Macaca fascicularis: one gene and its partner. The protein of the gene in region 2 binds, or shares a complex with, the protein of the main gene of each other region. Links are inferred from orthologs where the notes say so. Each region holds a gene or a part of one and is shown on either strand. Other genes may lie near its edges.

Region 1 (4,108 bases), about 78 Mb from region 2:
GTTTCCTTGGACTCCTCTGGAATCCCTGTTGTGAATATCAAAGGGGTACTAGTGGTGAGGGGCAGTAGTTGGGGGGGTCAGAAAGAGTGGGAAGACTGAACAAGCTGGGTAACTTGAAATTATGTGGGGTTCATTTGCTGTAAATCAGAGGCTGTCATTTCAGATTTCATGACTTTACATGTCCAGTTGTAAATAACATTCCTAGGTGTTAGTGGGACAAATACGAAGTGGGACAGCAGTCTCAAGTTTGGGAGATCTTCACAGGGAAGGTCGTCAGGTCCTGAAAGGGTCGCATAGAGGGGAGAGAACCCATTCTCTTCTTGCCAAGTAGAAAACAAAGCCTAGCTTTTCTCTCCAGAGAATGTTGTGGTGGTGGGGGAGGGAAAAGAAGGTGGAGGTCCCGGAGAAATTGCAAATGGGGCCAAAATGTGACTATGAAAGAAGAGTGAGCTTTTGATAATACCATTAAGAAAATCACGCAAGAAAAAAAAAAAGATGGTTAGGTATTACCCCTATGTGGCAGCATCTGCCCTGCAGAACGAGAAGGTTTGCAAACAGACTTCCCAAACCCCAACCACAGCTCGCTCTGCCTCGAGGACCCCTTTTCTGCACCCCCACCTCAGTGCCCTCTTCCTGCACCCACAAAGAGAGTACTCAGTCATAGGGGTTCACCAGGAGAGAGGAGAGAGAAGGTACAGGCGGTGAGCGGGAACTCAGCCATCATCTCACTCAGGTCTCTCCCTACCCAGCTGATAGAGCGAATCCCGAGTAATTGTTTTCCGAGGGGGTCCGTGGGCGCTCGGTGGCGCCGCCTCGGTCTGGGTTCCCCGGAGGAAAAATATCCACCCGCTAGGACACAGCGGCTTTTCGACTCGGCGGGGATGAACTGTGGCAACTTCTGCAGCCCCCACCGCGGTGCGGAAGCAGAGGCGGCAACATTGGCGACGGCGGCTCGGCGGGGCTGGAGCGCGTGAAGCCGTGGGGGCGCCGTGCGCCTCCCGCTTTCTGGTTTCGGCCGCGAGTCCCGGGACTCCGACTTGGGTGCTCCGGGTGGTAGCGGCTGCGGCGCCTGCAGTCCAGATCCTCGCAGTTCCGGGGGCGAAGAAGGCGAACGGAATCGTCCCCCAGTGGGGAGCGCAACAAGCCACAGTAGCCAAACCCCTCGCTCCTGCCCCGGCTCCCAGGCGAACGCAGCTGCAGCGGGGGCCGGGCCCCGAGCCCCACGCCGCCGCCGCCGCCCGTGGAGAGGGGCGGGCTGGGGGCGGGGCGGCCGGGGCTGCCTTCCCGGGCGCATCCCCGAGCGCAGCACAGGCGCTGCCGAGCCACCTCCCCCGCCGCCCGCTAGCAAGTTTGGCGGCTCCAAGCCAGGCGCGCCTCAGGATCCAGGCTCATTTGTTTCCACCTAGCTTCGGTGCGCCCTGCTAGGCGGGGACCCTCGGGAGCGATGCCGGTGGATGTGATTTTAGTTGTGTGGTTCTGTGTGTGCACTGCCAGGACAGGTAAGCATGACGGTGGCGGTTAGAGGGATCCGGGAAACGGGGGTGCCCATAGCCCACGGTGGCGTGGGGAGACCTGGAGCCGAGCTCTACGCTGGTCTGGGGAACGGCGGTAGTGTGGATCGGTTCCTGGGATCTCTTTGCCCTGCTGGGAGTGACAGGGTGAGAAGAGGGACTCACGGGCTTGAAGATGTCCCCGTTGAGTGCCTGTTCTCAGGGGACCCGGCCTCTGGGGCGCAGGAGTGAGGGGCGCGGCCGAGCGGACGCACCCTCGGGCTGCTAGTAACCAGCTTTCTGTGCCAGGGAGTCGAAACCCGCAGCAGGGCGGGCCCGCGTGCCGCGTGTTCCCGAACTTGAAAGGTGCTGTGGAAACCGCTCTCGCCGACCCCCGCCAGGCTGGGAAGGGGTGGCTGCGGGAGTCGCACCCGCGGAGGGAGCGCTTCCGGCTGGCGGGTGCGGCCGGGGCCCAGGAGGGCGCGGTGCGGCGAGGGGAGAGAACTGCGGGAGAACCCTGGGATCCTGCGATCTCCTCCTGTCCCTTTCTGACTACCCAGGAGAACTCCAGGAGTATTCTCCTCCGCCCCGCTTTGCTCCCAAGGGTTGGGCGAACAATTATCTAAGGGAAATAGACCTGTGGAGACAATCCGAGGAGATTTTCTCAAGCTCAAACCAGTTTTCTCTTGCCATAATCGCAGGGTTCGGGGTGGGGAGGAGGAGCAAGGATGGTGCATGATTGTCTGAAGTCCCCACTTCGTTCTGCCTCCGGAGACGCAGTTGTGAGGACTCTCAGCGCATCTTCTTCCTTCTGCTTCCACCGGCTTCCTTGCCCGAAAGTCCCCTGGGGTTTGGAGACTGGCTTGCAGCCGCCTTCTTCAAAGAGCTAGTAGTAGATGCGCGGAGACTGGGGTGAGGTGAGGTGGGGTGAGATGTGGTAGGAAATTGGCAAAAATAGGGCCTGTCAACTAGGGGGAGTGTCGGAGGTTTGCAATCCTGCCCAGCCATCCCTCCGTACGCGCTGCCGACTTTGCACCCTAGAATCTGTGTGGTCATTCCCTCTGCCTTTATTCTCCCCGCTTTACCACCGTATTTCCTTCTCTATAGGCGTGGCCTTCTCTCCAGGCCAAAGAGCAAGTTCACCTGGAGAGGGCTGAGGGGGCGTCTGCCTTTAGTTGGCTCAAAAGTTCCCTCCGCTTGCGCCCAGGCGCCCCTCTTTGGCAATTAGCCCGCCAGAAGATCTAGCGTCTAGGAGCTTTCAGAGGACCCTTCCCACTTCCCCAGGACTGAGCAGGCAGCGGCTTTCGTCTGGTTAAGAGTGTTGAGTATGGATTTCTCCAGGGACAAAAGAAACCTCCCATTCCGTTCCTTACCTGGGAAGTTCCGAGCTTCCCAGGCTGCGGAGACGCCAAGGCTCAGTCTAGCTTAGAATAGTTACTTCTTGAGTTCAGGCCCATCAGAACGAGTTAGTCTTTTGAAACCAGAAAACGCTGAAGGAGTGCGCGCACCCCAGGAAGATCAGGACAGGCAAGACTAGTGCAGAGCGTGGGCTACCTGCTCTGAGCGCGAGAGTGCTGGTGGACATCTTGCAGAGGAACCGCAGACAGGGAGAAGCTTGAGAGGGAGGGGGCAACCCGTTAGTCAGTTCACCTCCCTAAGTGCACATCACTACGGAATATGCCTAAATCCTTTGTTCTCATTATTCCTTTGAAAAGTCGCCAAAGTACCCTTATCACGGAATGCAAGGTGTTTCAGGGTTCATTGCTTGTGGAGGGGATCTTTAAGAGCAGGTATTTTCCCTCTTTCCACTTCCAATCCCCTTTAAATCATGTAAAAATTTGGTTGTAGGGAAAAATTCATTCATGTATTTATTCATTCAACAAACGATGTTTTGCTGGGTGCCAGTATTTCTTATGCAAAGAGGAAATGACTTAGTCCTTGACTTCTAGGAACTTACAGCTTAGCTGAGAATCTAGATAGGAACTGGCAGGCATTTTAATTTTACAGATTGATGGGGGGTGGTGAAGAGGTAGGAGTATAAGTTTGTATTAAGGAAATATGGAGGAGGGACAGTTTGAATTAATTCTAGGGAGGAGTGGTGGTCAGGGATTTGAGAGTTGTGCCTTCAAGGCTTTGTAGGGAGTTTTCCAGGTGGACAAAGTGGTAAGGCATTCTTGGCAGAGGGAACAGATTGAGCAAAGGCAGGGAAGCATGGAAGAATCTGACCCATTGATTGTGACTGTTGCCTAGGGAGCTTGGGTTTTCAATGCCCCTTGGCACTATTTGAACACTAGAGGCCACATATTTCTTCACACATTATCAGAAGAATCAGAGAGACGGGGGGAATTACCTCTCAATTTGTACACTTAAAATATCTTGTAGTTTGAGAGGGTATAAGCAGTAGCTTTCTGGGGGCAGCCGTCTGATTTTGTGCAGGAATCACCATTACCACACCATCCATCCACCTCTTAGGTAACAAAGGCTGGCTGGTGATTAGTTTATCAGCATCCAAACAGCTGCATGGAAAGTTTCTTTGTCAAGTGGGACAATTGTTGTCTGGGCTGTTAACAGTCCTAGATGAAATAAACATGTGGTTCACTTAGTGAGCTGCTCAGATA
Region 2 (4,063 bases):
TGATGAAGGAGGCTTGGAAGAAGCCCCCCACCCCTTGACAACGTCTCGGGTTCCCTTCAACAAGCTCTGCCTGAAATACTTCAATTCTTGATTCTGCTTACTCCCGAGTCTGCGACTGTATAGCACCCATCCCTCTGGGGTCAGAAGCAGTCGCCCCATGAAGTTTGTCTCATCCCGGAGCTGATGGCTGAGCCAGAACTCAGGCACTGACTTTTCAATCAGCAGGGCCTTACCTCAGGTTAGGAATGCCCCGTCCTCTCTCTTTCCTAGACACCCCAAAGCCATCTCCAGTCTACTGGGGGCTCTTCAGGTAGAAAGAACCCCAGAAAAGTCAGAAGCAGACCGCGACTGGAAGTGGGAGGCGAGAGGGGGGTGCATGGTTTTCTTCTCGCCCCCCAGTAAGGACGACTGTTATCAGATTTGAACAGATTTGCACGAATTTTGCATCAATCCCACATGCCTTTACAAAAATAATATTATCTTTGTTTTTATCCTAGAATCCTTGGTTCCATTTCAGTCTCCTCAAAAACGTAAAACAATTTAACAAAAAATGTCAAAGCAGAGTAATGTAAAAGTATTCAAGCACATGACAGTTGCCTGGGTTTGCCTGGCTTTCGGTCTCCTACAGGAACTCCTAGATTAGGGCGTTTGGAGCAGGACTCCCGGGTCAGGGCGCGCCGCACCATCCCCTGGCCTCCAGGCTGCAGAACAGAGGACCAGAGGGCAGAGAGGTGGACCTGTCTTGGAGTTCTCTTCCTGCTCCCAACTCTTGCTGCAAACCACCCCAGTCTCCTGCACTTCCGTCGCCAAATCCCTAGACTTGAGAGGGAATGGAAGTCAGAGCTTTGGCAGCAAGGAGCATTGCTTGCGCTTTGCCTCAGTTTCCATAAGGTTAGGGAAAAGAGAGGACAGACTCCTGTTCTAAAGTTGGGCAGAAGGGCAGAGTTCGACAGAGCCTCATCCTTCATCTTAGGTGCTTTGAGAAAGAAGGGACAATCTCTCGCTGCGTCCAGAACAGAACGCTAGACTTGGGGCGCGGGGCGGGGACTCCAACTCGCGTGCCACGCTACTCTAGTCTCCTGCCCGGATAGTGACTGTAGGGGTAGGGGTGGGAGGGTGGAGGGAGGTGGATTAATCCCTTAATTACGCCGTGATCGGCGTGGCACCTGCTTTCCGCCTGCCCAGCTCCCAGGGGACTCCGGCACTGGGGGGTGGAGAGAAGGACGAGGGAAGGAGGAGGGCATGAGGAGGCACCGACCGTACCCAGGCGAGCCGGCAGGAGAGCGGCACCGTGGCTGCCGCAGCGCGCAGAGGCTGTGGAGGGGCTTACGGCACCCGGCCCGCGGGTCTCAGACCCAGGGGCTGGGCCCCGAGCCCCCCGCCCCGATCCCAGCTGGGTCGAACCATGCTGCGCTACCTGCTGAAAACGCTGCTGCAGATGAACTTGTTCGCGGACTCTCTGGCCGGGGACATCTCCAACTCCAGCGAGCTACTCTTGGGCTTCAACTCCTCGCTGGCGGCGCTCAACCACACCCTGCTGCCTCCCGGCGATCCCTCACTCAACGGTGAGTCCCTGCCTCTTGGGGATATGGGATCCTGGGATGGGGATGAGGTGAGAGGGCGGCGTGGAAGAGAAGGAGAATCACTCCTGTCCCGAGGTCCAGGATTGAGCGGCGCCTCCCAGCGCCTCCCTGGGTCTTGGGGGCTAAGGGATAATTTGGAGCTTGGAGCACCTGAGTGGGGGTACCCGCGGGAGGTCGAGGGCTTGGGAGAAGATATCTACTGAGTCTTTTTACACCTCCTTCCCTTCCCCTACAACGCCCACCCCAGGTGAGAAGACCGTGGCTGGTGACGGGCAGGGAAGTCCGAGCTAAGAAAGGCCCGGGCCCAGCGCAGGGAGGGCAGAGGAGGGGGCACGGTCTCCCGCCGGCCTCGGCCAAGCCGGGTCACTCGGTGACCCACCCAGGCAGCTGGTCTTCGGAATCCCGAAGTTTCCCAAGAACTCACTTAGGACCAGAGGAAGCCAAAATGCTGGATGTGTTTGCTACGGAGGGGACAGGGGCGGCGATCATTTTAAGGAAACTTAGAAGTTTGTCTTTCAGCGGCGGGACTCTCAGCCGGCCCACCCCGGCAGAGCTGTGGCGGGCGGGCGGAGCTGGCTGCGAGGTCGTTACCGCTAATTACGGCGATTAATAAATGACTGGGACAGCGCGCTCTCCCCTAGCGCCGCGGGGAAGCTGCGGGAGCCGGCCGCCGCCAGCATTCGGAGAGGCCGGAGCGCGCCCCCTGCCTGCAGCATCGGCAACCCCGGCTTTCCCGGGCGCTTTCGCGTGTGGTTCCCTCCAGGTGCACGCGGTCCCCATCCCTCTGCCTCGACCCACTCGAGTCTAGTGACGAGCACTGTGCTGGGGACTCGAAGGTGGAGAGAAAGGAGACCGGGGCAATATGTGTGTGTTTATGTGTAGGACACATCAGGTGCTGAGGGAGGAGCCCCAGAGCCTCATTAGCATGGCCATTAGCTATTCATTAGGCTGCAGTCGAAGCATCTCCTGAGACCGGGAAGGGTAGGGGGAAATTCCAGGGAAAGGGCGCCTGCAGCTGCGTCTACAGGAATTAGGGGGAAAGGACCGACCAGAAGGGTGTGTTCCGTATGGAAGGAGTGGGGAGGAAGACGATGGGGGATGAGCCCGATTCTCCAACCTCTTGACCCTCCTAGATTCCCAGGAGGTTAAGCACAGACCCCTTCTCGCTGGCACCCCGCAGAGTCCCGCTTCTGCTCACTTAGCGCTTTTACAGAGTGTTTTCACCATACTTGGTCTCATCTAAGCTCGAAAACTTAGTGAGGTATGTAAGGAAGGTGTTGACAGACACATTTTGCCGCTGAGAAAATGCTTTATAGAGTGAATGGTGCCCTAATCGTCACAAAAGCAGCATGAAGCAAAACCTAGCCATAACAGATCAGTCTATTTCCTTTACACCTGAGGGCTATACCAAGGGGAAAAAAGAATATTGGGGTCTGGTAGAATTCGATTCAGGTAGAGACTGTAGGAGCCAAGATAAGGTGCATATGCTGGGAATACAAGCCCTTAAATAATGGCAGAGTAGTAACATTTATCCCCCAATGCCTTACATACATTATGGTCTTAGAGCAACCCTATCACTACTCCCACATCACAAATAAAGAAACTAAGACTCAGAGAAGTTAAATAATTTGCCCAAGTTCTTACAGCTAGGAAGGGTCAAAGTCTGAGATTCCAGCCCTGGTTGGTTCAACACCAACACCTGAGCTCTCAGTCACTCCAGTGTTGCTCACCACGGGGTGTTCCAAAATTGGGAATGGGAGGAGATGGAGGAGAAGAGACGGGTGAAAAGCAGAGATTTCCAATTGGAAGGGAGATGGAGAAAATTATTCTCTCAAGTGGGACAGAAATCGATCTTCTTGACTACAGGCAATTAAAATAAACTTCTCAGGGCAGCCCCAGCACTGGTCAGCCTGTCCAGCTTTGTCTACAACAGAACTTCTAAGAGGAGGGGCGGAAATGAAACCCAACTCACACGTGGGCTGGAACCGGGAGGTTCCTGCAGATTTTGGAACAGGGTAGGAGGGGAGGGGGCAGCGGGCAGAACAGATGCTTGAAGTGGTCCCTGGTTATTTTACACCAGATTATTCAAGGCTGCAGTGGCACCTACTGGCCGCCACGGGTTACAAATCCACTTTTGTTGGCTGGACTAGAGGCTGAGCCTGCCGGAGTATAACAGGCTCCGGGATCCCAAACCCTAGTGCAGAAGGCGAAACAGGCCAAAGTCTGCAGGCCAAGTGACAGGTGGGATAGAATATGTGGATGAACTGATTCGAGTGAGCAGGGAAAGTAGAGGAACATCAATCAGTAGGCTAATCTATTGGAAACTATGCACCTCTCAGGAAAAGGAGACTTACTAATATTTCTACTGCTCTTTGAGTTCAATTCCTGTGATTTCACAGGACACTTGAAATGAAGCATGATTATCCGGGGTGTCAGTAAGAAGGACTCTGTGCGACTCATAGAATCCAGGTTGACAAGCC

What was found. The genes of interacting proteins can lie anywhere in the genome.
Region 1: the proteins of ROBO3 (region 2) and NELL1 are in contact, whole or in part, in a crystal structure (PDB 6POL), measured with the Homo sapiens proteins. The link is inferred for Macaca fascicularis from reciprocal best matches to the Homo sapiens genes ROBO3 and NELL1. Residues at the interface, in NP_071765.2 of Homo sapiens: Ser553, Pro555, Val590, Glu592, Phe594, Pro596, Asn600, Thr601, Trp602, Thr604, Ile624, Leu626, Arg630, Gly633, Ala634, Trp635, Gly636, Leu637, Ser638, Glu639, Pro646, Val647, Arg648; in NP_006148.2 of Homo sapiens: Ala440, Lys441, Met442, His443, Tyr444, His446, Tyr458, Arg468, Val469, Asp470, Asp471, Phe472, Ser473, Asp478, Ile492, Cys493, Thr494, Asn495, Thr503, Cys504, Lys505, Pro506.

What each region holds. Positions count from the first base shown.
Region 1 is NC_088388.1:45,050,463-45,054,570, reverse strand, and holds the start of NELL1 (protein kinase C-binding protein NELL1), read left to right. Parts: upstream 1-1,307; 5' UTR 1,308-1,444; coding exon 1,445-1,499; intron 1,500-4,108. UniProt on the Homo sapiens protein: Plays a role in the control of cell growth and differentiation. Promotes osteoblast cell differentiation and terminal mineralization.
Region 2 is NC_088388.1:123,437,342-123,441,404, forward strand, and holds the start of ROBO3 (roundabout homolog 3), read left to right. Parts: upstream 1-1,259; 5' UTR 1,260-1,405; coding exon 1,406-1,565; intron 1,566-4,063. UniProt on the Homo sapiens protein: Receptor involved in axon guidance during development. Acts as a multifunctional regulator of pathfinding that simultaneously mediates NELL2 repulsion, inhibits SLIT repulsion, and facilitates Netrin-1/NTN1 attraction.